Linked DNA regions of Diceros bicornis minor. The protein of the gene in region 2 purifies or fractionates together with the protein of the main gene of each other region. This does not show direct contact. Links are inferred from orthologs where the notes say so. Each region holds a gene or a part of one and is shown on either strand. Other genes may lie near its edges. The genes, in order: PDGFRB, SRC, CDCP1 and CDH1.

Region 1 (7,981 bases), on a different chromosome or scaffold from region 2:
ATGCCCAGAGACTCCTCCTTCTGCCCAGAAGGCAGCTGGTCTCCGAGCCGGACAGTGCCTGGAGGACGGAAGTGGGCCTTTAGAATACCCATGCTGTCCAGGTCCCTTCCATGGGGATAGCCCTCTGCGGGTTGCAGACTAATTTCACAGCCAAGTTGTCCTGTGCAGGAGGCGGGGAGAGCAGCAGCCCTCTCATAGCCAATGGCATTAGGTCCAGCCCCGTGAAGCGCAGGAACTGTGTACCTTACCTATACTGTTACCTCCTGGAGCCTACATACCGCCCTGCTGCTCACAGAGGAGGGGACTGAACTCCAGAGTCACACAGTCAGCCAGAAGCCAAATGGGGTAAATCCATGGTCATCCGATGCCCAAACCTGGTGTTGTTTACCCATGGTGCCCACTGCCTTCCAGATGTAGACGCAGCCCAAAAAGAGGACACGGGGGCCTGAGGTTGGCCACACATGGATTTGAGCTGAGCCAGGGCGAGCGCCGGGTCTCCTGACTCTGAATCCACGGTGCTTTCCGCTGCCCCACATCTGTGGGCAATTACAAGTCGCAGCTCTTCTTCCCACAGAGGAGGGAGCGCTGCCTGATCACTGCTGAAGGGAGGGTGCTGACCAGATGGTCTCCTTCCCCACTCAGGACCAAACCAGGGCCCAGGTGGACCTGGGAGCAGGTCAGGCCTGGAGCTGAACTTTCCGCCATGGAAGGTGCTGGAGCCAGGAGCAGGCTCCATGGGAGGATGGAGACTCTCTCCCCTCTCACCAGGAGCTCCCTGGGTAGCGAGAGAGTTAAGTGTTTGGATTCAGGCAGATCGTGGCCTAAACACCAACTCTACTAACTGTGTGACCCTAGGAAATTCTCTTAGCCTCTCTCAGCCCCGGGTTCCTTGTCTGCCAAACAGGGGTAGTAATACCCATTCCAAAGACCTGCTGTGGGGATTACAGGGCCTGAGCCTGGCATGGGGTAAGCACTCAACGACGGTGACCAGCATGGTCCTCATGTCCCCGAGTGCTGTGGACTCAGGGCCCTCCTGCTTGTGGCTTTAGAAGAGCTCGCAGAGGCCTCTGTGCACTTTGGAATCACAGAGGCAGGCAGGGACACCCCTCCTTGTCTGACAGAGAAAAATGCAGTCTGGAGGAGCTGCATGATGTTCTGGAAGGGCACCTGAGGGAAGACAGGGGGCCTGGGCTCTGGTCTCATCTGGGAAGAGGAGGTCTTCAGTGAGTCCCTCCTCCCTTTCAACAGCACATTTTCTCAGCCCCACTGCCTGCCAGGGACACTGGGGACAGAATACAGGTGGGGAAGCCTGGGTCCTGAATGATCTCCGATGTGCAAAACAGAACACAAACAGGAAGAGAGGGCCAGGCAACAAGGCTCCAGTGCGAAGGGCACAGCAAGCACTTGGAAGACTGGAAGCATCTGAGAAGCTGCCTGGAGGAGGTGGAGAAGGGAGGGTCCTTGAAGAAAAAGTGGAAGTGATGAGGAAGGGCAGGCCCACAGGCAGGATCTTGCAAATTCCTTCTGGGAATCCTGGGATCTGACTGGCAGGAACACAGGGCCCAAGTTTGGAGTGATGGGGCACGGAGCTTACTATCTCCCCGAGCTCTGCCACTTACTAGCTACAGTTTTGTGGCCGCTGTGAGCTTCAGTTTCCTTGTGTGTAAAATCAGTCTCTGCCCCTGGAGTTGCTGGCCAGCGTTACATGAGATCATGCTTACAAAGCACTCCGCGCAGCCCTGGCAGGCAGTGAGTCTCAATCAGTGGCAGCCGCTGTTAGGGCTTTGGGCTTTCTACAGGGGAGAATCACGGAAGGAATCGTGATCAGATTCGTGTTTTAGGATGGAGAAGGGGCAGTGTCTGGCAGGAGGGAGAGAGAGAGGGGGCCTGAGCACTGCCTGGGACCAGAGGAAAGGGCCAGCAGCCGACCCCGCTGCTCCACAGAGGGGCCATCAGATTGATGGCCGGGCCCCAGACCCCCAGCCCCGGCTGCATGACCATAACTGCTAGGATGGGCCTGCCACCACCAGGGCCCCCTCTCCTTCACACTTTCCCAGCCGCTGGGGGTTTGAAGGACATCTTAGGAATCTGGAAAATTTGCAAATCTTTTAAATCCCCAGAGGTTGCCTGGCGGCCGACTGGCCCAGAGCCAGACAGATTCTTAGGGACAAGACTTGGGCCCATGGACAGGGGCTATGCCTCTGAGGTCCTGTCCCTTGGTAGGTCCCCGTTCTGTGTACGCTGCTTGCCATCTCCCAATTCCCTTCTCATACCCCTCCCAGCTCTCCCCACCTCCCGCAGGCAGTGCTGTGCTTTGGAGGCCCCCAGTCGACACCCGGAAACCTCTGGGGTTTGTTTGGTGAGGGCAGGGGGCAGCAAGGTTGAGGAGGCCGGGGCCACCCACCCCAGAAGCAGCCTGAGCAAGAGAGAGGAAAGAACTGGCTCCTCTAGCCCTGATGTCGCCCGCAGCCTCCCGGCCTCCTCCCATCTGGTTTTGTTAAAAGTATTTTCCATTTTTTGACCTATTCAAGAAGGCGCAGGCTGGGGCCAGGGGACAGGACAAGGGGTTGGGGTTCCCCACTCTCCCAGCACTTACCTTGCTGCTGATGCCTTCTGGTATGGGCACTGTCCTGGGCTCTGGGCTGTCACCCCCTCCAGGAAGTCCTCCTCACGGCCCTCTCCCTTTATCAGAAAGACTTTGCTGGACCCGAAAGGGGGCCGCAGCTGGGTAGGAGGGCAGGGAAGGCCGCTGCAGGCTCCCGGAGCCTCAGGAAAATGGAGGGAGTGGGGGGCTACAGGGGTAAGGAGTGGCCTCACTCCCAAAGCATCCTTCGGGAGGAGCAGGGCTGCCAGGAGGGGCCGCCCTGGGTCTGGCTGTCTGTGTCGCAGGGCGAAGGCTGCTGCCGGGCGCTGGTCAGAGGGGCCTGGCCCTCTCCTGGTCCTCCTCCTCCTCCTCCCTGGCTCCAAGTTGCTCACAGAGCAATCCTGGGTCCCAGACGGGGCGGGCAGGGACTGCGGCCGCTGGCAGCCCCAGGAGCTCACACCACTGTGGGCTTCCCTGCCCCCCCACCTTGGGGGAAAGGCTGAAGGATGGCCTCTGATTGGCTCAGCTGGGAGAAGGGGGGCGGTGGGGCGGGGAGGTTGGACGCGTGCGTCTGTTTTCAATTTCAGTTTTTTCCCCCCTCTTTCTTTTCCCCAAGTTTCTTGTTTTTCTTCCTCTTTTCCCTCTGCTTGCTCCCTCCCATCGCTGCTCCTTCAGGATGTGAGGGGATGTTTAGAAATTCCGCGGCCCACGCCAGCCGCTGAGTCACTTTTATTAAAGAGTGGCCCGGCCCCACTCGCCTGATGCCTGTCTCGGGTGGCAGCCTCCCCTTGCCATGGCACCTGGGGGCGAGTCCTTTCTGTGTGCCTCAGTTTCCCCATCTACAAAGGGAGCTCTGATAAGCTATACGGCTGATTCAGTCAACACTCATTCATTGAACAAGCATGTCGATCGCCTACGATGTGCCAGACACTGCGCTGAGTGATGGGGACACAGTAGTAAGTAAGACACAGTCCCTGACCTCAGGGGTGCCCAGGCTAGTGAAAGAGACAGACAATGGACAGTTGGGTACCCCAAGGGAGGGCAGGGGGGCTCAGAGCGCATCTGGAGGGGCACCTAACTGAGGCTGGAGGGAATCAGAAAGGGCACCTGAGAAGAGGTGACTTGGAAGAGACGGAAAGACCTTCCAAGATGATCGGTCACTTCTCAGAAGAAGAAACCAAGGCCAAGGGGTGACTTGGTGCAGAGAGGGAAAGAGACTTGCCCAAGGTCACCCAGCACACTTCAGATTCCAGACATATTCCTTTCTGTCATCTCAAAGCCCTGGAGTAGGGCTGTGGTTACTTCCCCATTTATATATCGATGAGGAATGTGAAGCCCAGCAGAGTGAAATGAGCTCGCACAGCAATGGCAGAACTCGAGCAGAATCAGGTCCCACGAGTTACATGATGGAACAGACACGGGGACCTGACCCACACTGCAGTGTAGACTGGCACTCCTGTCCTACCTTCTACCTAGGTTATCCCTGTCCCCGTTTCTCATTCAGTCACTCAACAGATATTTTCGAGTACCTGTTATGTTCCACTTCCAGCCTCCGGGCCTCCTCCCCACTAGGGGCTGCAAGGCTCTTCCAGGACGTCGGCGGGGCCTCTCGTGACCTGGCTTCTTCTACCCTCGTTTCCTCAGATCAGAAGCTGTCTCTAGTCACAATCTCCTGGCCCTTAGATGCGAAGGCCATCATTATAAAAGGGCTTAGGAAGTTGACTAAAAGGGCTTAGGCAGTCACCTCCTGCCCCCACTACTGCACACATGGGGAAATTGAGTCCCAGAGAGGGGGAGAAAGGTGTCCCGGGTCACACAGGTAGAGCGTGACTCTGTCCAGGGCTCCTTCTGTCCTGCCCTCTGCACCTCTGTCTATCCCTTCTCCCAGGCCTCACCCTGGGCTCCTGTTCATGGGGCGGGGGCTTTGCTTGAGCTGGGATTTCATGCCACCCACAGGAACCTATCTGGTGGTCATTTCTTGGTCTTGTCCCAGTGGGGACTGCCCAGCAGAGCATCTGGCCTGGGCCACACAGAGGGAGAAGGGTTCTCAGACTGGCTCCAGGCCATGGGGTGGGGGCCGTGAGAGCCTCCCAAGAGAGGGGGCCTGGCCCAGCTTGGTGGCAGCTGGGTCAGAGGGGAATACAGGGGGACTCCAGAGACCACAGGGTCAGGCCTGCACAGGGATTTCTTGTGCCCAGAGACTCCATCAGTCTGTACAACTCCCCTTCTAGCATTTGCCTCAGCCGTTTACCTCCAAAGCCTTGGCCCAACTGCAGGGACCAGGACAACTCAGGGGAAGCAAGGCGGCATCTCAACCCGCAGCCCCAAGAAAGCTAGGCCGGGAGTCAGGAACCCCAGCTGTGGACTTGTTGGTTGGTCTTGGATAGGTATCTTGTCCTCTCTGAGCCTCAGTTTCCCCATCTGTACATAACAGGGGTGGACTCACTGAGCTGGAAGGCGCTCGGGATGCTCTGTCTACAAGTTCCTTAGAGTTGGACTCTGGCTAGGGAGAGGAGGCTGGTGGGCCCCAGGGCAAGGGGACAGCTGGGGGCCAGAGATGCAGCACAGAGGGGAGGGGGCGGCTGCCGGTGGCTCCCCCGGGAAGCCGGCGGCCGCCAGTTTCCGGCCAGCCCAGCCGTCCGGCTGGCCCATCTGGAATCACTTAGCCCCTACCACCATTAACCCTTGGCAGGCAGCAGGGCTGTTAAGGCTCTTCTCAGCTGAGATGGGGTTGGGGGACACAGAGCCACGTGAGACACCACAGGGCACTCCCCGAGGGCTGGACAGTTGAGGCGGAAGTGTCACGATTGACAGGGCAGGTTCCAGAGCCAGAGACAGAGCTGGGTTCAAATGCTAGCTTCTGCAGTTTCAAGCTGCATGATCTTGGGCAAGTCACTTGAACTCCTGAGCCTCAGTTTCCTCTTCTGGAAAATGGAGATAATTTGAGGAATGACTCGAAAGACTGTTGTGATTTGTAATGCACTTAAAGGGCTTAGTACAGTGTCTGGAAGTGTTATTATTGAAATAGTGATTTTCTCTCATACCAGCTGCAACCCGTCACTGTGTGCCCCTGGGCTGAGCTCTCCCTTCTCTGGACCTCAGTTTCCCCTGTGCACTCTGAAGGGGTGGGCAGTGGGCAGTGCATGTGGACAGTGCAGCCCCGTCAGGCTGGCATGGTCAGCATGGCCCCCAGCCCACTGTGGACAGGATGAGCCGTGAGCAGTCTCCCACCTGGCCAGATGCTGGGAGCCCAGGCCAGCCTCGGACACACCTGTCTTGGGGGAGGCTAGGCTGAGATTGGACAGGCAGAGCGTGGAGCATGGGGAGTCCTGCCTGAGGTAGAGTGGGGTGGGGTGCAGAGGGAGAGAGCAGCTCTGGGCAGTGGGGTTCAGCACTTCCCCTCCCCACTGCGTGGTGGCCTGCTCAAGGATTAAGAGTCTGAGCTTTGATGTCAGCACTTCCAACCCAGCTCTGCCACTTCCCAGCTGTGTGACCCTGGACAGATTACATTATCCGAGCTCAAAGAGCCTCGGTGTTTTCAGCTGTAAAATGGGGATACAGCCGCCTCCTTCACAGAGTTGTTTGGAGAGGCCCAAATAAGTGATGCACAGGAGGTGTTTTGTACAAGGACTAGAGCAGAGCGAGACAGCTCCAAGAAAGGTGACTGATTCTTAGGTGTCACCGGGCGCTGCTGTCACAGAAGTTCACCATCAGGACTGGAGGGAAGATCCTCCGACAGCTCATTTTACAGCTGAGATGACTGAGGCCCTGTGATGGAATGTGACTGTACCAGGCTTTGTGACATGTAAGACCAGGACTGGAACGGAGGCTTTGTCCAGACTCTTAGGCCCGTGTTCTTCCCTGGAGGAGGGAACCAGGCTGAACTGCCCCCCTCCACAGACCCCCACCCACGCTCAGCTCATCAGAGCCTAGCTGAGCCGGAAGCCACAGCTCTCAGTGGGGCGGGGGAGGGGGTCCGGAAAGGGCGCCTGAGTAGGAGAATTCCCAGTAGGCTGGCTCAGCACTCATTCAGGCAGGGCCAGCGGCTACCACATCTGGCTCTCCCACGCTCCCAGCGCTGCCTCGCCTCCCCCCCGCCCGGCCTGGGGCGACGAAGCAACACACACGTCCCAGGCATCGGCACAGTCATCTTGGATGTCAGGGCCAGATGAGTCCTAGGAGTGAGTCCATTGTACAGGCACAGAAACTGAGGCTCAGAGAGCAGAGAAGACCTGTCAGAGGTTAGCAGAGAGAGAAAGGGCCTGGAATGCAGGACTCCTGACCCCCAGCTCAGTGTCCTTCCACTCTGCGCACCCTGAGCAGGTAGGACCTTGTGCCTGCATCTGGGGAGCCAGAAGGGGCCTGCAGTGGGAACTGCCCCTTCCCCTCCTGGACATTCAGCATGGTGGCTGTCTGGTTGGGCAGAGGGACCAGTGGGGGCTTCGGGCCACATTCTCACTCTAGATTGCAGGACTGCTTTTACTGGGCCAGACCGAGGCCACCAAGGCCTGACAAGGTCGCAGGAGATAAGGGCTTCAAGACCCTGCCCGCCTCAGCCCCTCCCCAGCCTCCAGCTGGCCTCAGTCTCAGTGCCCCAGGGAACAAGGGTGTGTCCTTCTGGTACACACAGATGGCTCAAGGGTCATCAGAACAGCAGGGCCCCCAGAGGCCACGTATCTTCTCCTCACTGGACACAGTGGGTCCCAGAGAAGGCCAGAACCTGCTTGAGGGCACACAGTAGGTCTGGAAAGGGGCCTTTAACTTTGACTCCCAGGCTGTCCTGCTCCTCCCACCATGTAGCCACCACACAGAAGTTAACTAAGCACCTACTATGTGCCCTGGCCTCATACAGCTCACAAGCAAACACCAAGGAAACCACAAATTAATAATATAAAATTGTGATGAAAGAGAGAGAATAATGGGCTATGTAGGTAGGATTCTTGTTTTGGTAGATTAAGGCTTCTCTGGGGAAGAAATATTTCAGCTGAGACCTGAGGTTAAGAGGCCACACTCAATGCAGGGGCGGGAACAGTGTTCTAGGCAGAGGGAACAGCATGTGCAAAAGCTTGGTGTGTTTGAAGAGAAAGAAAAGAATGGTTGAGGTGCAGAGAGAGGACTGGTCGGATATACGCTGGAGAGGTAGTCAGGGGCCAGGCATCAGGGCCTTGTGGGCCTGAGAGGACTCTGGCTTTTATCCTGAGGGTCAGGGGGGCGGGGGAACTGAAGGATTTTAAGCAGGAGACTGATGAGATCAGATCACTGTGGGGCACTGTGGAGGATGGCTAATGGGGGCATGAGGAGAGGCAGGGGGCGAATATGGAGGCTGTTGTAGTAGACCATGGCCGACTGCCCTCCCCACCCCCCATCCATCCGAGAAGCTGCAGAACGCATCCAACA
Region 2 (6,923 bases):
CTAATCAGCCCCTTGTGTGAAGATGAAGGCCAAACTCCTCCCCAAGGCCCACACAGCCCACAGGGTCCAGCCCTGCTGTGAACACCCCTCATTTCACCTCTCACCCCCTCCCCCTAATTCTCTGTGCTCCAGATTCACAGGCTTTCCCATTGTTCCTCCACAACAGCACACACTCCCCACCTCAGGGCCTTTGCACATGCCATCCCCTCTGCCTGGTAAGCCCTGCCCCTAGCTCCATGCCTGGCCAACTCCTACGTGCTTCCTTCAAGATTCCTCTGCATCCCACGCCTCTCCCTCTGAGCCCTTATCACATCTGCGATTATATATTCATTTATTTGGCAACTTGTTTGCTACTTGGCTCACCCTCTAGACTCAAACTTCTGGAAGGCCAGGGACGTTCACCATTCCTCTGCAAGGACCCACCCAGGCTGACCACTCCCCACAACCCCAGGGAAGTGTCTGAACAGAAGGGAAGAGAGAGCACTCTCGTCCCTCCTTTGTTGAGCAAACTGCTGCCCCCCCTCAGCACCACCTCCTGGAAGCCTCCGGATGCCTCCCCACAGCTCCCACTGCTCACCCCATCACCACACTGCTGGCCTGAGTTCAAAGCTCCTAGGACACAGTAAGTGCTCAATACAAGGTCACGGAGGCTTGCATTTAGGCAGGTTTGGGGAAATGGGGTCAATTGAGGACCAGGGGGTTGGGGGTTCTGTCGGCATGTCATGGAGCCATCTCCTCCCTGGATCCTGGGGCTTGGAGGAGCCAGACAACCCCTGGCCCCCGAGGTCACCATCAGGGAAGAAGCAAAAGCAGAAACTGGCTGTGAGCTGGGGATAATTCATGCTCCAGGAAGAGGCTAGGGGAGAGGAGGAGAGAGCTGGGGGGCCTTCCTGGAAGAGGTGGGCCTTAAACTAAATCTTAAAGAACAAGAGCAGATAAGCAGCTCCTACATGAGAGGACACTCCGGCAGGGACATCTTCAGGAGCAAAGGCCCAGGGGCCACACAGGAGGGCCTGGGCAGGCAGTCAGCTGAGAGAGGTGACACACTGTAAATCACTTCCTTGGGTGGAAAGACCACATCACCATCTCACCAAATGGGCCTCGTGGCTCCACGCGATCACTCATCGGGGTAGTCTTTTCCGACACTGCCGTGTGCCTGGTCTTGTCCTGAGAAACGCCTGCTCCTCTATCACCCCTGGAAGGGGTCGAGGGCAGCCAGACGGGGGGCTCCAAGGTCCAGGTTCTGATTCCAGCTTCAAACTGTGTGGCCTCGGGGCAGTCACTTCACCTCTCTGTGCCTCAGTTTCTCCATCAGCAAAATGAGGATAAACAAGAGCCCCTACCTCAGAGGAGGCGCTCAGTAGAGGTCAGCAGCTGTCATTACCACGGGCCCATTTTACACTTAACGAAACGAAGGCCAGAGGGAACAGTGAGCTGCCTGAGCTCACACAGCTGCTGGGTGGCAGGCCTGTGCCAGCGTGGTCTCTTTCTCAAGGGGTTATTCTTTCTCAAGAGGCGGCTTTTCAGGCACAAATCCACCCTCTCCTGGAGATGAGCCCCACTAGGCCAGCAACCTCGCCTCCACCCGTTCAGGCAATTCATCCAGGGAAGCGCTCATTTATTGAGCACCTACTACATACCAAGCCAAAACACACAGATTCCTCCCCTGAGGATTCCCATTCCACATATGCAGACTCAGAGGGCAGTCCCTTGGCCCAGGTCGCCCAGTGAGACGAGAAGCCTAGGTGTCCTGTCTCCCCAGCCAGAGGGCTGAGAAGAGGGTCAGCTACAGAGCCAGCCTGGCCCACTGAAACCAAGTCTGACCTCAGCTGCACTGTGGCTGGGCCTGGCCTCCCCCCAGGGGACACAGGGACCACTGCCCCCATTGTACAGAGTCCCTGAGGCTCTCACCCAGGCCCACACACACATGGTCTGTCCACTCTCAAGTCAGCCTGGAGACCCCAGAGGCTGAACTGGTACCCCACAGGTGAGCCCTTTCTCTTCATGCCCATCCTTCCACCAGCCCAGTAATCCCAGCCAGGCCCACCTGCCACTGATGAGGACCTCCAGCTCAGAGAGAGCAGGCAGTTGTCCGAGGACACACAGCAGGGCAAGTGGTGGTCCTGTTGAGATTCAAACCCACTGCAACCCCAGCCCAGGCAGGCAGATGGACCGGGCTTGGTGGTGAGGGCCCAAAACTTTTGCCAACTTCTGAGCAGGCAGGCGGCTGGGCCTGCCCAGAAGCGAGGCTGGGGGCTGTAGGCAGCGGGGACCATGCAGCGTCTGGCCCAGTCCCTTCCAGGCCGGCGGCACCAGGCCCTAGTCGAAGCCCCACGAGGACAGGGTGGGCCTGGTGCCTGGCCGGGCGCCCCCAGCCAGGTACCCCCAGACCCACCCTGTCGGCCCCCCTCCACCTCCCATGCCGGGCCGGGGCGCCAGGCCGGGCAGCCGCGGCCAGAGGCGGCGCCGACCGGCTCAGATATCAGATTTGGCCTAGTGCTGGCCGGGGGCTCGGGCCCGGCTCGCTGCTTCTCAGGGGGCTCGCAGCGGGAGGGTGAGCCGGAGGGGGTCCCCGCGCCGACAGACCCCTGCGCCCCCGCCCAGCCCCCTCCTCCCGCGGCATCACAACAAAAGGCCGCGCCGGGCACGTCCCCGTGCGCCCGCCCAGCGCTCCGGGCTCGCGGCTCGGCCGGGGGTGCGGGTCGGAGGGTGCACGGAGCCCCCGCGGCCCGGCGATCCGAGGCCGGGGGGGGGGGGCCCCGCGCGGGGGCTCCCCCAGGCCGGCGGGGACTCGGCGCCCGCGGAGGGGCGGGGGGCGCTCACCTGGGCCGACGGGCGGGCGGGCGCACCGGCAGACAGACGCACGGGAGGGCGGCCCGCCGGACGGCCAGGGGGTCTGGCAGACGGCGGCCTGGCCGCTCCGGCTCCCAGGCCGGAATGGATTCCGGGCCGGGAAAGACAGATCGAGAGAGAAAGGGAGGAGGAGGAGGAGGCGGCGGCCCGGGGAGGGGAAGAGGAGGGAGGGAGCGCGCGCGCCGGGAGGAGGGGCACGGCAGGCCTCCGGGAGGAGGAGGAAGGAGGAAGCGCGCGGGGACGAATTCCCCGCCGGTGACCGGGAGGAGACCCGTGTGCGGGCCCCCCCACACTCGAGCCAGCGTCCGGGCGGGGCGGGGGATGGGGTGCGGAGGCTTGGGGCACAGAAACCCCGCCCCGTGAGAGCACCCCACCCTGCGGACCCCCGATCCGCCCTCAAACCAAAATGCCCTCCCTAACTCCCCCCAACCCACCTACCCTATTTACCCCAAATCCACCTCTCCTGCAATTAGTAGTAGTAATAATAATAACACCAGCACTAACGGAGCGCTCACTCCTTGCCAGGCGCCATGCTAAGTGGCTCAGGTCGACTTTTAAGATCTATTCCAAACAAGCAGCTGGGCTGGCCAGATGGTTATCTCCATTTTACAGATTGGGAAACTGTGGCACAGAGAAAGGGGTTACCTACAAGAAACAGGCTTTGGACTCTGGCCTTGACCTGAGTTTCACAAAGTGGGGACTGGGGCAGGAGGGACCATGTGGAGAGGAGCAATATTTATTTTAATAAGATATGTGTTCATTTCAATGTGTATAAAACACATAACTAAGGCTGCCCATCAGAAGTCATAGAGTTCCAGATATTCCCGCCTCAGAGGGGACTGCAGCAGGTATTCGGTGACAATTACACTTCCAAGTATATAAATAAAGAGGCGAAGCACATCTGGACGCGGGGGCGAGGGAGTATAGCAGAGAAAGGGGATGACCTGGAGGAAATGCTGCTGTAGGCCACAAAGCCTCCTCCACCACTGTCTGACCCCACCTTACCCCACCACCTCCAGGCCCAGGCTCCGGGGCTGCCCTGTTGGGGGCGGGCACCCCACCCTTGGCTTTTCACCTGTCCTCCTGGAATTATGGCACAGGGGAAGGTGGGCCTGAATCCAGCTTTAAATACCACCACCTGCCTCCACTTTCCTTCTCTGAAATTCTTCCATTTCACAGATGGGAAACTGAGGCCCAACCAGGCCAAATGGCACAAGGCTGGGCTTCTCCTCCTGAGAGGAGCTGGGAGGGGAACCCTAGAATGTGGGAGGCAAAGGCTCAGGGTACAATACAGCGTGCAGGAGTCCAGGAGTGAGCACCGCCTTGAGCCGGACTGATCTGGTTCTAATCTAGGCCAGCTGCCCCCCTGCTGCACCTCGTACGAGTCCATCAATTTCCCCAGCCCAGTCCCCTTGCCTATGAAACAGAGTGAACAAGCCACAGAGGACTCCTGGGAAGGTTAAACCCGACAAGTGTGAGGGTGGCTGAGGTTGTGCCCAACAAATGGTAGCTCTTACGGGTGGTAAACTGAGGCCGGAGGGAGAAGGGGCAGCTTGAAGCCCCACAGCAAGTCAGCGGCAGAGCCAGCACCAGAAGCCAGCCTGGGCTGGGGAAATGGCTGCACTTGTTGGCAAGGCTGGCTTAAAGATTAACCATGGCTTCCCAGGCTGGAGGAGCGGATTTCTCAGCCCTCGCTCACTCCTCACACGTGTCTGAAGGCCTTTCCTGGCCACACTGGGCCGGGTGGGCTGCTCACCCAGGGGTGTGCTGGGGCTGGCTGTTACCACTTGCAAGAGCAGACTGTGTTCATCTCTCCTCAACTCTCGGATCAATGATGTCACTTTGATAACTTGACATCAGCCACTGTAGGAGTATTTACACCTTGGAAATCAGCAAACACTACAAATCAAGGCTTTTTTTCCTTCCAAAGAGCTGGCTTTTAAATATTTACCAGCACATCACCAGATTCATCCCCAGGAGTTCAACTGAAAGTTCTGGGCCACGTCTAGAGCTGGGATGACAAAGAGCTTAAAAGCACAGACTTTGGACCCACAGACCTGGGTTAAGTCCCATCTCTGCCACTTCATGGATATGTGACCTTGAGCATGCCATTTCTCTGAGCCTCGGCCTGCCAACCTGCAAAATGGGCTAAAGACAGCACTTCCGTCAGAGGGCTCCCATGAGGATGAAATGAGGTGCTGCCAGCTCAGCACGTGTGGGCCTCACTATCCGTACCCTACACATTCTCTTGGAGGAGCAGGGACGACGGGGACAAGTCTTGGCTCTGGAAGGTGCAGCCTTCCCCCTGGAGCCACCACTGGCTTCGAGGGCTTGGCTTAGCCGCTGAGGTTCTCAGCGAGCACTTCAGGGAGACGTGGCCAGCACGATGGTTGGGAACGTTTGTTATTTTCAGCCACCCCTCTGGGCCATTGCTCAGGCTGTAACTCCCACCGTATCTCTAGCTTCCCAACCTTCTGTGGCCATCAGGTCCCTGAGTAAATTCCACCACCTCCAGGACATGCTTCCTGACAAACTCCTGATGAGGCACACCCCAAGTCCCTTCAGGGTGTGTCAGTCCCCACCCTTAGGGCAGGGACTGTGGCCTGGCCCGTGCCCAGCACAGAGCAGACACTGCCCAGTCGGCTGGGGAGAACACACTGATTAGGGATCCACATACAAGAGTTCAAGTTCCAACTCTTCCGTTCATTGACTGTGTGACCCTGCCCTCTCTGAGCCTCAATTTACTCATCAATAAAGTGGGGCCACAACCCCACCAACCTCCAGGATGATGTCGATGCGAGAGTTGCTGGTCTGGCCCGGTGGGTAAGTAAGGGACTCTGTGCATTATTTTGCTTAAAACATTGTTTGTTAGTAAAATAGCAACTCATTGCTTAATGCCTGCAAATCATTCATCGTCGTTAATGGAAGCAACTTATTGACCACCGACGGTATACACAGCCCTGTCTCAGGCCTGGAAGACTGAGAAGCACAATTTCCCAACCCAAAGCACCCACAGGTGACAGATGTTATTGATGTCAACATTGCTGAGATGGTGAGCACTGGTTGTACACAGATGTCTGTCTCCAGAAACCTCTTCTTCCCTCCTTCCCCCCACCTGGGTCAAAGCCACAACTAAGGGCAGGATGGAGCATGTGGGGCGAGGCCTGGCCCCTCAAGACTGGCAGCAGACCCACAGGTGAGAGCTTTCCCATGAACTAGGATCAGAGGCACTGCCCGCACCGCACCCCTGGGCCCTGGTGGCTCTGGCTCGATGGTGGCCTATTTGCTAACCCCACCCTGAGCCCAGCTCACCTTGGAGGAGCTGGACCCATCACAGGCACCCAGCGGGAAATTCCAGACCAGCTCTGTCATTCACCAGATGGTTTGCTGTGAGTTGTCTATTCGAAGCCACAGAATGATCTGGACTTCGGGCTACAGGATGAGGTGGAAGAGGGGGCAGGCTCCAGCTTGAGGCTGTGGAATGGGCTTGGCACCTCCCGTGGCACTGCACTTTACAGTTTACACAGAGACGTCCAGTTCCTCAGTGCATCAGCCCGATCTGGCCCTTGCCAGCTGCTCAGGCCTGTCTTGCAGGCCCTGGTCCCCTTCCCTCCTTGTCAAGCCCGCATCCTTGCTGTCCCTCCGTCACAGCAGCTCATTCCCGCCCAGAGGCCTCTGCACTTGCTGGTCCCTCTGCGTGGATGCTGTCTACCCCACAGCCCCTGGCTAAGCCTTACTCTTCCTTTCTCGGGTCAGTCAGTATTTACTGAGCATCTACTATGTGCTAGGGTCTGGGCTAGGTGCTAGGGGGACAGCAGTGAACAAACCAGGTCTGGTCTCTGCCTTAGAATTGCTCGCAGCCTGGAGGAGCAGGGAAGTGTGACCAGTGTGCTAGGCAGAGTGATGGGGCCAGCACCGGGGACTGGAGGGGCCCTAATTCACTATGTGTGTTGGAGAAAGGGGCTGGTGAAGGAAGGAGGTCGTCTACGGAGAGTGTAGAAGACTGCGGGGATGCTGGCAGGTGAAAATGGGACAGAGAGGGTATTCCAGGCAGAGGGAACAGCATGACC
Region 3 (7,842 bases), on a different chromosome or scaffold from region 2:
TTGGCTTTATACACACATACAACACACACACACAACACACACACACACAACACACACACAACAAACACATACAATGAGAAGACTGTGCAGCAAAATGACAAAGGTGGTTTGCTCACAGGCGACTGTTTTCCATTTTGGTTATATTTATTGTCAATTTTTCTACGACTATATATTACTTAAAACAATTTAATTATTGTTTTCAACTTCCTTGCCCCACACTGAAGCCTGGGAGAACTCCTAGAAGAGCGTTTGTACAGTCATCATAGATGGTACGGCAGTATATGAGGTGAATCCTGAGGCTGACAAGCCGGCACCCGAACACATCTCTATTACCAGCAGAGCAGCCGTCTCTGACTCCAAGTCAGAAATCTGTGAGGGGGTGGGGGAGGGAGAGGGATCATCAGCCCTGCCAGTTACACATTCCAGACAACAGCCAGCAGCTCCTCATTTGAATCGGAAGAATGATGAAGGCAACAGTCACCCAGGGTGAGTGAACGCGTCCTTTGACGTCTGCTCACATTTCTGGCAAGAACAATGGCAGCAAGAATGGGGTCACTGACCCAGACTCTGGTATCTGAGTGGTCCTTGGAAAGCCACTAGGTTGAGGTTTTAGCAAGTCTCTGCTTCCAGTTTCACCAGTCCTTCACCCCTGGAAGTGGGGAGCTGGTGGAACTATGAACTCACACGAACACACCACGCCAAGATGGGAGCTTTCCTTTACTCTCGGCTCTGCAGGGACACCAACTTCATTTCCACTCTGCCGAGCCTTTGTTAAGAGAGTTCAGGGATTATAAAACAAATCCTCTGGGCCAGGGCTCTCTCTGGCTTTCTCTATCCTTTCAGGACAGACTCTAGTAACTTCTCAAAGGCCCCCCTTGGTTAGACCAACCCCACAACTTTAGGCAAAGCAGATGTACTTGGCAACAGTTCCTACCACAAAGGCATAGCCCTCAGTGCAGCCTGGCAATGTGACCTCACAGGACCAGTTTCTGAGACCATAGGAAGGATTTAAGAACGTGAAATAGGAGAATTCCTAGGCTTCCTCCTATTTATACACAGAACCATGAGACGTAGCTCTGACAGTCAAGAACTTCCTGGAAGGAAGGAACTCCATTGGAGCTACTGGAGACCAAAAGGACAGCCTCTTCAGGCCACAGGGAGAAATCAGACATGTAACACAAGCCAGTTCAGGACAGGCTGTCATTGCTGTCATTCGTAATGCCTTGATTTACACCATATTCTTACTGGAAGAGTTCTCAACCATTATCACAAACAACCGGAAACATCGAAAACATTCCCAGAGTTCCAGTATAGCTCCCAAGTGTGGTGGGCACACATTTTTCTCAAACACACATTTACACACATTTTCATTAACTAAATTACTCTTTATTCTTAAACTGATTTTTTCCTTCAAAGGGAATCTTGAAAACTCAGTCCTAAATTACAATAAATATGCACACAATATATTTTTTTCTTTTTTTGTGAGGAAGATTAGCCCTGAGCTAACATCCCATGCCAATCCTCCTCTTTTTTTGCTGAGGAAGGTTGGCCCTGGGCTAACATCCATGCTCATCTTCCTCTACTTTATGTGGGACACCACCACAGCATGGCTTGATAGGTGGTGCGTAAGTCTGTGCCCGGGATCAGAACCTGTGAACTTAACTGCTATGACACTGGGCCAGCCCCCAAGCACACAATATTTTAAATGAGGTCTTGCAATGTTCCACCTACTGTGCAGCAAGAAGTCACCTGATGCTGTTGGAGAAAGGAACCAGGAAGCTTTCCTGTCTCGGATTTGTAATGATGGCAGTTGTTGGATTGCCCAAGTTCACCTCACCCGCTTAGTTTTATTCCTCAATTTAATTTATCCTAATTTCTCTACCTGCCAAATACAGGTCCCCTTAGGTGTAGCAAAGGGTAATCAAAGACCCAAATCTCTTCCTGGATAGCTCTTAAAAAAACACAAAACCTGTGCTAGTTTCAGGAAAGGCCTCGAATCAAGTTCTTATTTGAAGAAACCAGGTTATTTCTCTGTTCTATTACTTGCAGGGCCCGCAGGGCACCTCCTTGCAGACACAAGCAGCTGGGATGTGGCTGTCCCTCCCCCAACCGGAACAACTCGAAATTCACACACATCTACAGAACGTCCGCCTCTGCCAACCCGCTTCTGCCGTCCAAGTCCACTGCACAGAGATGCGAGGGGCGGGGGGATGTACAGGCTCCGCGGCGCAGATGCCCGGCGGCCTTCTCCTACCTGGCGCTTTCAATTTCAAATTAATGTCCCTGAATTTCAGGAGAGCGAGAATGGAGCGTGCGGACAGGAGAAAAGGGATGGGATATCGGGGCGCCAAACCGCTATTTTCCGGCACCTTCTCCCTGGTCCAGGCGAGGAGGTACAGGGTGGGCCAGAGAGGAAAGTTCCCTCTCCACGCCCTACCCGGGGGCCCCCAAGAATCCAAGTAAAGCCCCCGAGTGCGCGGCGCGCCACTTCGAGCAGGATCGGTTTCGGCGCGCTGTTTCCTCCTCCTCGGTGGGCGCCGCGCTCATTCCCCCCGACCACGGGGCTCCCCGCTCGGGGACACTCCCGCGTGCCGCAGCCTGCGCCCACGGCGAGGTCGCTCGGAATCCTGGAGGGTAAGGCCACTGCGCCTAACGCGGCGCGCCCGGGAGCCGGGCGGTCCCGGGGACCCCGCGCCATCCGTCATCCCGACTGCGCCGCCGCCGTCCCCCACTCTGCACCCTCCGCACCTTGCGTCCCTACCCCACCCCTCCGCCTGGCGCCGGCTCGCGGGCCATCTTGACCACTCGGCGCCACCCGCTTCCGCAGCACCGCACTCACCTACTCCGAGCGGCAGGAAGGCGGCGCCCAGCAGCAGGACCCCCAGCAGTGCGATTGTGACCCCGCAGTTCAGGTGGGCCATGGCTCCGGGGCGCCTCGGCCTCGGCGGGGAAAGCGACTGTGGCCCGTGGCACGGAGCGGCGGCCACGGGCGCCCAAGCCTGACACTGGCTGCGCTGCGCTCCTCCCCGGCTCGCTCACCTGTGTGCGGGCGGACCGGCCCGAGCTCCGCCCTGCGCCGCGGGAGTACGAGCTGGCCCGGCCTGTCCCCTCCCCTCTCCTCCTCTTCCTGCTTCAGCACCCGCCTCTCCCGGCCAGGGTGCTGGGACTTGTTGACACCATCCTGGGCCTGTCCTCCCTCACCAGGCTGAGAGTAATCCGGTCTTCTTGTCTAAAGGCTCGAAGGCCCCTGGGGAAGCCAATTCGCCTTCCTTTCCCCGTCCAGGAAAAGGAGGCCCCTATGCGCCGCATTTTGCACGGGAATCATACTTGCGGATCACCCAAGCCCTGGCTGCCTCGTCTGTGCTCTCTCTGCTACCTGAGTTGGGCGGGAGGCTCACTGGACTTGAAAGCAGGCGCTGCAGCTACTCTTTGCAGGACTGTGAGCCTGCAGCCTGCTCCGGGCGCTTCACCTGCAGTAGTCCTAATGCTCACAGCAATCCTTCCACGTTACAGATGACTGTAAACAGACTTGCTGAGTTGCGCAACCTGCCCAAGGTTGCCAGGCGAGTTAATTTAGAGATAGGATTTAGCAGCACGGGAAGGGTTTTCTACAAATGGAGTTGCTTTGTTAAATTTTTGAAGAAGGGATGAGTGAGTGAATGAACGCATAAGGCAGGAAAGGACTGAGAGAAGAAACCTAAACAGGTCCACAAGGACTCCCTTCTTGAATTGTGAGTGGAGTAGTATGTGCCGTATGGGCGGGAGGCATTCACGTCAATCGTTGGGCTGTAAAAACAATGGCGCTAGGCTCCTTTCTCTCCTCCCAGCTGCGGTGTGCCGCCTTTCCCTGGCTTCCAGGGTCCTGTGGGTTCTCCTTCCACCTGTAGGCCACACACCAAGTCCAGGGTCACAGGGCCACGAGGAGAGGCAGTGGACGGTTCACGGACTCTCAGCCGGCAGACCAGGGTTCTGCCAAAATGACTCCACGCGCCCCCTGGGGCTATCTGTGCAGTGCGCAGCCAGAGGCTGGGCCAGGGTCACCTAGAACAACCTAGGAGGACTGGGACAGGAACCAGAGCACATGCAAGGGCATCAGTCTTCAGTCCAGCCCCAACTTCTGATTAATTCTTGGGAGCACTGAGCCTCTCCAGGCTGCCCCTACTCTCAGAATGAACAGGCGTGAGAAATCCTCTCTTAGGGGGTTCATCCCCTTTCTTCTGTGTGTCTTCGAGGATGAGAATAAAGCAAATTCTGCCCTCAGGGAGGCCACAGTCTGTGAGGGAAACAGAGATGTCCATACTGGGTCCTGACCCCACCCACATCTCTACCTGTGGGAAAGCTTGGACTATGAGCTGTAGGGGACCTCAGAGTTTATTTTCTAGCCTACTTCCCTCATCAGACAGATAGATGGAGAAACTGAGGCCTAGGGGAAAGGAAGAGAATGAGAAAAATAGAGAGGTTCTTTGTTCTCCCCACAGAATTGAAGGCAAATTCATTAAGAGAAAGAAATCTTGAGAAAATCTAAACGTCCTTTAAAAATGTTTACGCTTACCAGGAGAGTGAAAGCAGATTTCATCTGTTTTCTTAGTTCTAAGAGGGCATATATATGCCGACATCTTTTCCTAGCATCCATAGTACGATTATTTCCCACATATAATGATGATAATAATAATAATAATAATAATAATAATAGAGTGGCAGTGTGTTGAATTGAAAATATCAGAAATACTGCTTGATGGTTTAAGCCTAGGGAACAAGTTATTTTATTACTGTCTCATTTCTCCAAAGTTTGCTTAACTCGCCTCCCTGAGATTGTGAAACTAACTTTCTGTAAATGACATGAGAGTCAAAAATTCTCAAATGTGAAGGATTGGTGATGGTCCCAGACAACGCAGCAAAGAGAAAGAAATGAAAAAAGTAGGGAGGCATATCAGCATCCTTTGCATGACAACCCAGCTACACAGTTGAAGTCAAGATGTCGTGAGGTAATGTCTTGGTTCTTGGAGTCGAGTGTGAGCAAAGCATTGCCAAGGTATGGAAGTGTTTCGTCTTTCAAACATGGCTGAATGGAAGGAGTCAATTTTAAAAGGTTATTTCTGAAGTGGAAAAAATCCGGGCAGCTATAGTCTGTTGCCAGAGAAAAATGACAGATTGAAGGGTGAGTTTTAAAACACACTGTTCCATCTAATTTTTACCCCTCCAGAAACCCTACAAAAGCTACAAAACAGAGATTTAAAAAAAAGGCATAAGCGTACTAAGATGGGGAGAACAGAGAGAAGACAACAGCAAAATCCTCTTGGAAGCTGGAAAGCAGGTGGACAAGTGGTAACTGCCTTAGGAGCCTGGAGACAGCAGAACCCTAATCCAGGAGTGGGGAAAATTGAGATATTGCATGATTTATACTGTGGAATTGTAAAAACAACAACAAAACAACAACAACACACACACAAATAACCCTCAGGAACTAGCAGCACAAGATATTCTGAGACAGGAGGGTGAAGGAGAAGTGAAAACAAGGAAGCCTGGGAAAAAGCTGTTTGAAAAATACTATTGTTAGATCTAAAAATACTATTGTTAGAACCTTCCCTCCATTCCCCCTGGCTGGGGAACTGCCCCTCCTTCACTCCAGCAGAAGTCTGAAGCGCTGTTTTCTGGAGAGGTTAAAACCGAGGGATCTGGGCTGAGAAGTGCCAGGCACAGTTAAGTGCCTGGAAACATCCTGAAAAATAAGTAGATAAAGGGAACATAGGCATTGTGAACGCTGAGCTCCTCAGTTGCCTGCCCCAACTTGCTTCTCGGAATGCAACAGAGAAGGCTTTACCATATGTGCTGGAGTTGGAAAGAATCTCCTTCTGGGGAATCTGACCAGCCCAAGAGGAAAGACCTAAAGATATAGACATTTATCCCCATCAACAGGCTAACCAGATCCCTACCATGAGTCTCCCAGTTGGTAAGCCCCACCAACTCAGCTTTTTAATCTCTCACTTTTGAATATGACGAGACAATCAGGATTTCAAGACTTCTAAGGAAAGCTTCTAACAGAGAAGAGTCAAAATCAACCAATTAACTAGACAGAAATAAGAAACCTCGAGGAAAAAGACAATATAAGCAGGAGAAACCAAAACAGAGCAAAAAAAAAAAAACAATTACTAACTTCCTTAGACAGCAGACAATATTACATCTATGAAACGGGAAAAGGATGTTATAAAAAATGAATATTCAAGGAACCACAAAAGAGTTCTTGGAAGTTTAAAAAATGTTTCTAGATATAAAATATGTATGTATATATATAGAAGGGTTGGAATACTTCCCAGAAAGTAAAGCAAAAACACAAAGAGATAAAAAATAGGAGAGAAAAGTTAAGAAAATTGGGGTCCAGTTCAGGAGATCCAATATCTGAATAATGGGTTTCCTAGAAGAGATAGCAGATGAAACAGAAAGACATCATCAGTGATATAATTCAAGAAATTCCCCAGGCCCAAATGACATGAGTTTCCAGATTTCAAGACTCATGGAGTGTCCGGCACGGTGGATAAAATAGGCTTACATTGAGGCACATGATGTGAAATTTCAGAAACCTATGAACAAAGAGAAGATTCTTTAGCATCCAGAGGCAAGACATGGGTCTCATGCAAAGGAACAAAAATCAAAATGGCTTTGGATTTGTCAATAGCAACACTAGAAGCTGGAAGACAATGAAGCAATATCTTCAAAATTCTGAAGGAAAATTACATCCAACTTAGAATTCTATACCCAACCAATCTACCATTTAAGTGATAAGGTAGAAAAAGGGTACTTTTAGACATCCAAGATCTAAAACAAAAACCACAAATTCCTGCACACATTTTCTCAGGAAAATACTGGAGGATGTGTTCCATTAAAACAAGAAATGCGTGAAACACAGAGAGGAGTGGATACAGGTTTGTGGGGCTGAAATTAATCACCTTAAGAAAAAGAATACAGAGTTGCAGATAGAAATTCAGGTATGAAAATGATTATTTATTCAGAATAGGGCAAGAAATCACAACAAATTACAAACTTGAAAAAATTGAAAAATGTCACAAAATCCAGAAAAATAGCATGATATCTTTACTATTAACTCACTGGTGCAGCTCTTTATCATTTCTTCGGGTCATTTTGCTTCATCAATGTGTGTGCTATTTCTTCTGGAACTGCCAGACTTCATCATGACAAGATGCATCAGATACGCTGAGATGCAATCTTGATTTGTTGGGATGCATAAAACTGTGAATTCACACACAGAAATACTCGCTGTTCATAGAAACACCGTAGTGTCGTGCCCTACAAATACAGGAATTCTTACAAATTCTATTTGTGTGATTCCTATTAAATACAAAGAACAAAATAATATGGTACATTGATAATTTTACATGCTGCGTTATCCATTTATTTCTGACAGAAAAAAATGCTTCATTTAAAAAAAATTTTTTTTTAATTTATTTAATTTTCCCCCAAAGCCCCAGTAGATAGTTGTATGTTATAGCTGCACATCCTTCTAGTTGCTGTATGTGGGACGCAGCCTCAGCGTGGCTGGAGAAGCGGTGTGTCACTGCGCGCTCGGGATCCGAACCCAGGCCACCAGCAGCGGAGCGCCCGCACTTGACCGCTAAGCCACAGGGCCGGCCCAAAAATGCTTCATTTTTGATAAGGCATGAAGAGAACCAAATGTTCTGCTTAAAATTTTAGTTTTGCTAATTGGAAGAATTTTCTACAGACTAGCTTCTGGCTCTGTATAATCAGACTTGATTCCTCCTCCTCCACTGTGCACACACTTCCGGTTGGGCACTCCAGAACAAGTTCATAATGTGATACCACTTCTGG
Region 4 (7,868 bases), on a different chromosome or scaffold from region 2:
CTCTGGGGGTCCTGCTCTATCAACACCTCTCCTCTCCCAGGCACACAGGGACCACGACGTCTACTTCACAATGGACACCAATTCCCCAAACACCCTGTTTTCTTGATTGATTATTGAATTATTGAGAAGCGGAGAGAACAGGAGAAGGACCAGCTGTGGATCCCTGAGCAGATTACTAAATTGCTTTATGCTTCAGTTTCCCCACCCACAAAATAGAAATAATAAGGTTCTTGGGAAGATTAAATGAGGTAAAATATGTGAAACATTTTGCCCCAGAGTCTGGTTAAAAAGCAAATAATAGATGCCACTGCTAATAATAATGATAATATTTATATTATTACTAGCATGTAATAATGTTGTTAGCGGTCAGACATAAGAGCTTGGGGAGAGGAATAAAAACCAGACTAACCCTCCCTTGGCACTAGCAAATATCTTGGTGCAGGAAAACAAAATGACCAGCACTTGTGTTGGGACACCTCACACACAGGCACACACTCCCTTTCTAACCCTCACCTGCTCCTCAAGGCTGGGTCAGCTTTGCCTCCTCTCAGAAACCAGTCCTCACTGCCCACTGATACCCATCAAAACATCCCAGGCCACCCACACTCTTGGCACCTAAATGTTCACGTCCCACAGTGCCCTCTAAGTGGGTCCTGGGACACTCCCAGCAACCTGCTGGAATGTGAAATACCAAGAGCTGGGCTGGAGTGCCCCTGTATCTCCTCAGTTCATTCCCAGGTGCCCAGCACAGAGTCAGGCAGAATATCAAGCAGAGAACTGGCCAAGTAATGGCGGACTTACTGCAAAATCAGGCAGACAACACTTCCTACCTGACCCAATAGAAAGCTCTACACAACACAGACGGGCCTCAGAAAAGTAAATATGTTTAATCAATCAAGCTGCAGTTTCTGTTAAGAAAAAATCCCGCCCACTGTTGGAACAACTTCCAAAGTTCAAAAAAGAATTTCAGACAACAGCATGATTGCTGCAAATTTTTCACGTGGCCAAAGACTGGAGGAATAAACTCGGTGAATTCCCTCAGAGGAATTGTGGGTGATTTCTCATTTTAAAAAGTGTTTCTTTTACTGTTATGAAACTTGCCCAACCAACTAAAATCAAGAGGGAGGAGAAAGTCGCCTGGTAGGAAATAAGCACCTGGGAATCAGTGAAGCCAGAAGAGAAACTAACTTTCCCTTGCTCTCACTCCTGGGCCACTGAAAAGTGAAACAGAGCAAGCTCTCAAATCCTGATGATCACAGTGATAAGGCCCAGAATTACGTTGTGTGCGTTTTCATAACCTGAGTCAGAGCTACCAGGCTTTTTTTTTTTTTAAACCATTATTCCTTGAGGGAATAGTACCTGTATCAAAATGTTTTCATCTCTGTGAGTAATAGCCACAGCCTGGTAACCAAGAGAGGGATCCTCAGTCATCCCAGAGATGGTGCAGAATGGGGCCTGGGAGTCAGATCCTAGTTCAAATTCCTGTTCTGCTGACCCTGGGCAAGTGGACTCCACCCTCTGAGCCTCCATTTGCTCATCCGTAAAACAGGAATTACTGCTCCCTTCTCACACATCAGGTTTTTGCAGTCTGAAATGACAGACTGTCTCTAAAGTGGTCAGGACACTATGAGACACACTGAAGGCCTCTAATAAGTGCTCCCCCCCTTATAACATAACCATACGAGGATAGCCCCTCAACCACAGTGCTCAATCAGGGTAAAAGTTCAGATCCTTACATCTGTGTAAATTTCAAAGGGGTGTCATTTGAGCCAGAGAAGGAGGGCTTGCCCAGTTCAGTCTAGGGCCGTGGGAGCGCAATTTCTTGGACACTTTCCACTCCTACCCCAACCCACCCGGCTCAGCACACCGCCGGCGCGCCCTCACCTCTGCCCAGGACTCGGCCCGTCTCCAAGTGCCGCCGGGGCACCGTGAACGTGTAGCTCTGGGCACCAAAGCCGGGACGGCAGGGCTCCGGCTCCTGGCAGAGCCACGATGAGACCTGGGGTAGGGAAAAGGTATGGAACCGGGGTGAGTTGGGGGGTCCCTTCCTGCCCACATCGAAACCAACAGCGCCGCCCCTCCCTCGCTCCCGGCGTCAGGACTGTGGGAAGGACCCACCCCCGGGGCAGGCAGCCACGCCAAACTCTTTCATTCCGAAACCTGCGGCCGCCAGGACCCCAGGCCCTTCCAGGAGAGGGGGCTGCTGGTCACCTCCTCCCGACCTAGCACCTCTCCTGTCTCCTTTACAATTTCACGGAGGCATCTTTACTCTTCCCAACTCCACTTTCCTCATACCGGGAACGTTCTCACTCCTAAGTCTAGTTCCTCATACCGAGGGGCGCTCCAACCCCTTTGGACCCCACTTTCCTACCCCAGGGGCACCCCCATACCTACTTACTACCCTTTCTTTACATGGCAGGTGCCTTTATTATCTATTGGTTCCCTTTCCTTACCTCAGGGATCGAACCCACTACTCCTGGCTCCCCCTTGACTTGCGCCGGGGCTCCCCTTCCATATCCCTACCCCTACCCTGCTCCACAGCCCCCGCTGCCCGCTCCCCGCCACACCGCGGCGAACCGGAGTCCCAGCGCCTGCAGCGAGGCGCGCGCCCCCTCGGTGTCTGCGGGCTGGAGTGGGCAGAGCCGCGCTCGCCCTTCACCTGCTCCCACCCCCATCTCCCGGGAGTCCAGAGCGCGGCGCAGCTTCCAGGCCGTTTAGGCCCTTTGGACCCAAACTTTCTTAGTGGAAGAGGGAACGACGAGAGAGACGAAGGGACGACGAGAGAGGAGGGGAAGGGACGCGGGGCCGGGGCGCGGTTGGTGAGGCTGGAAGGCGTCTCCTGCAGTCCGGGGACCCGACGTACCTGCAGCAGCAGCAACAGTAGGAGCGCAGAGAGGCTGCGGCACGGAGGGCCCATGGTGGGCCGGGCGAGGGTCAGGTCGGCTCTGGCCAGGCTGGGCCGGGCTAGAATCTAGCAGGACTTCCGCGAACTCACAGGTGCTCCGCGACTCCCGACGCCACTGAGCCGGGCAGCGCCGCGGCCGCCAGGTGAGCCTCGAAGGCCCCGCCCCCAGCCCCGCTGATTGGCTGAAGGTGCACCTGCCGGCTGCAGCCAATAAACGGCCATGGCCTCAGCTTCCTCGACAGAGGGCGGACGGCCCGCCCACGATCCGCCCCCCTGCCTCGCGCCGACCCGGTGACTCGCTGGCCGGTGGTTGGCAGGGTCGAGGTAGGGTGTAGGGGCTCCCCGATTGCGATTACCACCAGGTTCGAATCCCAGCCTCGCGGTGGTTCACTAACACCCGGGGTCCGAAAGGACTTCCGCTTAATTGAGTTCTGTCTCTTTAACTGCAGGTCTCCATCGGTTAGTGAGTTTGCAAATCAGATCACTGGGTAGCACCCACCTTTTGAAGCCTCAGTTTCTCCACCTTCCAAATGAGAATAATAATCACAAACGCCTCCCTCTGTTGTTGTGAGGTTGCCACACAATTAATAAGACCAGTGTTTCCTGCAATATAAAAGCTCTGTATGGATGTGAGGGATAAAAATAGTAATAATAGGTGCTGGGGCATTGAAAGTTACAGTGCCAGGCTCTGTGCTAAGCATTTGACATTGACCATCTCAGTTAAACTCATCTCCAAACAACCCAAGGGCTTTGTTATTATTCCCTTTTGTTAGGCAACTAAGGCATAAAGAATTTGAGGCCTGGGAGTTGGCCCCGTGGCTTAGCGGTTGAGTGCGCCCGCTCCGCTACTGGCGGCCCTGGTTCGGATCCCGGGTGCGCACCGACGCACCGCTTCTCTGGCCATGCTGAGGCCACGTCCCACATACGGCAACCAGAAGGATGTGCAACTATGACATACAACTATCTACTGGGGCTTTGGGGAGAAAAAGGGAAAAAAAGGAGGAGGATTGGCAATAGATGTTAGCTCAGGGCTGGTCTTCCTCAGCAAAAAGAGGATTGGCATGGACATTAGCTCAGGGCTGATCTTCCTCAGGAAAAAAAAAAAAAGAATTTGAGGCCAGTAGGAGGTGGGGGGAGGACTGGAACTCATCTCCCTCTGATTCCAGAGCCCTTTGTTCTATTAGCTTCACCTCATGCGGCCTCAGATAGTCTTCCAGCTGGAGCTGCAGTTTTCAATCTGTTCTTTAATGAAGATCTGGAAGAGACCCTTTCGAGATCACCCAAACCTGTTCTTTGCAAATAACTCTTTCAATGTCACATGGAAGTCAACCTCAAAGCCAAGACTAGAACCTGAGATTCCTGATCCCCAGACTGGGGCTCCTAACACCACACCACAGCCACCACCACCCTCTCTAGAGAATTCTGTCCCCAGTAAAATAATTTTAGGATCAAAAAAGGAATAGACATGCAAATGTTAGGTTAGACAGTTTCCCTGTCTGACTGCCAGGGGCCAGCCCCTTCTTTGTGGTTGGCTACCCTGATAAGGACACCATCTTTCCCTTCCCCCTTCAAGCGTGATCAGAACTACAAAACAGTGTGTGGAGTCAGCTGCTCACTAGCTGTGTGACCTTGGGCTAGTCAGTGTTCTTACCTATATAAATGGGTTGATAGGAGCTAATGCAAGAAAATCACTAAACAGAGTAGTTGACGCCTACTAGCAACTGCTCAGTAAATGTTGTGGAGGTTGTTCTTTGGAAAGAACCACTGCCTTTCCTCCTTCCTCATGGGGAAGGCCATGTTTAGAATATTTCACCCAGAGCTAAAGGTGAGTCTGAGCCCATTGTGGCTACTTTCTCAACCCCAGAGGAAAGGCGTTGTCTCAAACCAAAACACTGTTTTGGGTCAGCCCCCTCCCACCCCCAACCTGTCCCCTCAGGCTTAATGGGTTTCTGAGCACATGCCCAGGCCATTTGATTTCTGCATCTTGGCTCTCTGTCTCTTAACCCACCAGGAGGCTCAGAGGGAAAAGGCTCCAGTATTTCCTTTCCCACTGAGGCTCCTGCCGGACTGTGCATTAAACAAGATAATGGAAATACAGAAAGAGGCGTCTCCCCCGTGGGGCTGCCTTGTCCGTTTATTTTTTCCTCCCAGTTATGTAAAAATACATATTTTATATCTTCGCTCAGCCCAGGGAGCCTTTAGGGCTTTGCTTTCCTCCCCCCAGCAAGCCCTGGCCTTGTAGCTCCGCGGCAACTTTCATCGACTCTTCCATTACACTCTGATAACTCAATAAGAAGGATTTTAGAAAACAATTAGGGGCAGTGAGGACAGGTCCGGCACAATGCTCTCTCCAGACTTCTCGGCAAGTCCTTCTCCAAGCTGCAGGGAGTGGATCGTGAAGGCCTGCCCGCTCAGGGCCGGTCTTCCTCAGCAAAAAGAGGAGGATTGGCATGGATGTTAGCTCAGAGCTGATCTTCCTCACACAAAAAAATAAAAAACATTGAAATTAATGCTTTAAATAGGTGAATTGTGTGGCTTATGAATTTTGTCAGAATAAAACTGTTTTCTTTTTTAAGTGGGGGGCTGTCTCGCTAAGAGCAGGCTTAGTAGAGGGGTGACTTTTGTAGCCCTATACCTCCTACTGTTTTTGTTTGTTTCACACACAGAAAAATCTAGAGACCTCTCTTTTTTGTGTGTGTGAGGAAGACTGGCCCTGAGCTAACATCTGTGCCATCTTCCTCTATGTTATATGTGGGATGCCTGCCACAGCATGGCTTGATGAGCAGTGCCTAGTTCCACACCTGGGATCCAGGCCTGTGGGGAACCCTGGGCCGCCAAAGCAGACCGTGCAAACGTAACCAGTATGCTACTGGGCTGGACCCTCTAGAGACCTTTCTTCCATGCACATATATAATTTATAATCATAACGACAACAACAACAATAATGGCTCTAATTTATGTAACACTCACTCTGTTCCAGGTGCTAGACCCAGGCACTTTTCCTTTTGTTAACTCACGCACCTCTATGAGGAAGATACTGTCCTGTCCCCTCTTGAGGAAACCGAGAGGTGAAGTGGTCTTCCACAGCCAGTAAGTGGCAGAGCTGTGGCAAACCCACTGTGTGCCAGGCCCTGTGCTCAGTACCTGCAACAGAGAAATCAGTCCTGAAGGCCACCGCTCCCTCCACTGTCCAAGAAGAATGACCTAACCAACCCAGTGCTAGGATGACCAACTGTCCCGTCTGCCCAGGACAGAGAGGGGTCCTGGAGTGTGGGACTTTAGTGCTAAACCTGGAAAGTTCTGGGTAAACCAGGACTAGTTAGTGAGCACTGATTGACTGTCCATTCCTGTGTGTGTGTTGTACACGCGTGTGCTCGCCTACTCACCGGCTCATGAAAGGGGTGCGTCTTGGTCTTTCCAGGTTCCACACTTCTCAAGTTTTGCAGGAGGGAAAGGTGAAGCTGGCCGTGCTGGAGCCAGACTGGGGCAGGTGGAGGGAGCTTCCACAGGCAGGGGTGGAGACCTGCGGAGCCATAAAACCTGGGCAAAGTGCAAGGTTTCCATTGCAGGCCTGGAAGAAAACTCCAGAGTCCAGACCGAGGATGTGGGGCCCATCATTTTCTAGAGTGACTCTCCAACTTTTCAGGACACACTCATTCATTCACTCACTCATCCATTCATTCATTCAGTAAACCCTCATTGCACCTAGCACATGCCAAGCGCTTTGCTGGTGAGGGAGGCCCTCCCTGCCCTCAAGGAGCTTTCAGTCTGGTGAATAAACAGACAAGGGAACCAGGTATTTATGATCCAGGGCAATAAGCAACAATGATATTCATATTTAACAACTGGTAGAACCCGGGCACCAGGCCAACCAAAATGAACACCAGCCGTGAATGCTGGGGTGGGGGTGGGGGTGGGGGTGGAGTCCCAGGCCCCCTGCTGTGCCAGGCTTTACCCTCTGGTTGCTGGGTGGTGGGGAGATCTGGAGGGGTGTGGGAGGGGCTGCAGGTGTGGGGAGCACTCTGAGAGACTGAGGGAAGTCGCTGATTCCCAAATGATGTGGAAAAATTTCAACACAATATTTCAGCAACTAGAACCTAGAGTGATATCAGTGACCCTGGTTGGAGACCAGCCCTAGTGATAATGATTTAAGATCAACAAGGCAAGTGATGTGGAGGCGCAAGGGGCTCAGAGAGGGCTTCTTGGGGGAAGTGACATCTAGGTTGAGTTAGCCAGAGTGTTCCTGGCAGAGGTTACCACCTGGGGAAAAGCCCAGAGAAGAGGGCTTAGCACTTTAGGTAGTTCAGTCTAGCTGGAGGAGAGGCAGGTTAGACCCAACAGGTGAGGAGAGTGTTGCGGGGGGCTGTGTTAATCATGGTCATCAGCTTGGACTGTGTCCTCAGAGCAATGGGGAACCATTGCAGGATTTTAATTAAGATCAGGGGAGTCACGTGATCCAGTTTGCAAATCCCCCGGGAGACACCAGGAATCCACTTTTCCGAAGACAAGAACCAAGTTTCAGGGAGGTTCAAACACCTGTCAGATGTCACGCAGCAGGTTGGACATGGCATAAATGGAACTGCTCCCTTCTAGATCACCTTCTCCATTGAATACCACGTGCAACAGAGGCTGCCCACTTGTATATGGAGCTTTAGAGTTTGCAAAGCACTTTACAGATTACAAAGCACTTTCCCATCCATGCTCATTTGATTTCCCACCAAAACGTTTTATAGGCAGTGATGCCATTTCTATTTCTCAGTTGAAGGGACTGAAATACAGGGAAGGTTTCAAGATCTAATAAATAGTGGAACCTTAAGTCAAATCCAAGCCTTAAGACTCCCCACCCAGTGCTCTTTCCCCTGTAACATGCTGTGTCTCGGCATTTATATTGGTCACTTTGGGTTGTAAATGTCAGAAACACAAGTGCCTAGGCAGAAAAAGGAAATCTGGGGGCTCATGTACT

What was found.
Region 1: the proteins of SRC (region 2) and PDGFRB purify together in Homo sapiens (affinity purification with western blotting; 4 studies listed by BioGRID and IntAct, with this or other methods). This does not show direct contact. The link is inferred for Diceros bicornis minor from reciprocal best matches to the Homo sapiens genes SRC and PDGFRB.
Region 3: the proteins of SRC (region 2) and CDCP1 purify together in Homo sapiens (co-immunoprecipitation; 4 studies listed by BioGRID and IntAct, with this or other methods). This does not show direct contact. The link is inferred for Diceros bicornis minor from reciprocal best matches to the Homo sapiens genes SRC and CDCP1.
Region 4: the proteins of SRC (region 2) and CDH1 purify together in Homo sapiens (affinity purification with western blotting; 5 studies listed by BioGRID and IntAct, with this or other methods). This does not show direct contact. The link is inferred for Diceros bicornis minor from reciprocal best matches to the Homo sapiens genes SRC and CDH1.

What each region holds. Positions count from the first base shown.
Region 1 is NC_080740.1:67,175,198-67,183,178, forward strand, and holds the start of PDGFRB (platelet-derived growth factor receptor beta), read right to left. Parts: upstream 3,010-7,981; 5' UTR 2,597-3,009; intron 1-2,596. UniProt on the Homo sapiens protein: Tyrosine-protein kinase that acts as a cell-surface receptor for homodimeric PDGFB and PDGFD and for heterodimers formed by PDGFA and PDGFB, and plays an essential role in the regulation of embryonic development, cell proliferation, survival, differentiation, chemotaxis and migration.
Region 2 is NC_080758.1:22,736,483-22,743,405, forward strand, and holds the start of SRC (proto-oncogene tyrosine-protein kinase Src), read right to left. Parts: upstream 3,005-6,923; 5' UTR 2,824-3,004; intron 1-2,823. UniProt on the Homo sapiens protein: Non-receptor protein tyrosine kinase which is activated following engagement of many different classes of cellular receptors including immune response receptors, integrins and other adhesion receptors, receptor protein tyrosine kinases, G protein-coupled receptors as well as cytokine receptors.
Region 3 is NC_080741.1:46,819,699-46,827,540, forward strand, and holds the start of CDCP1 (CUB domain-containing protein 1), read right to left. Parts: upstream 3,015-7,842; 5' UTR 2,922-3,014; coding exon 2,840-2,921; intron 1-2,839. UniProt on the Homo sapiens protein: May be involved in cell adhesion and cell matrix association. May play a role in the regulation of anchorage versus migration or proliferation versus differentiation via its phosphorylation.
Region 4 is NC_080771.1:20,367,027-20,374,894, reverse strand, and holds the start of CDH1 (cadherin-1), read right to left. Parts: upstream 3,010-7,868; 5' UTR 2,918-3,009; coding exon 2,864-2,917; intron 2,000-2,863; coding exon 1,885-1,999; intron 1-1,884.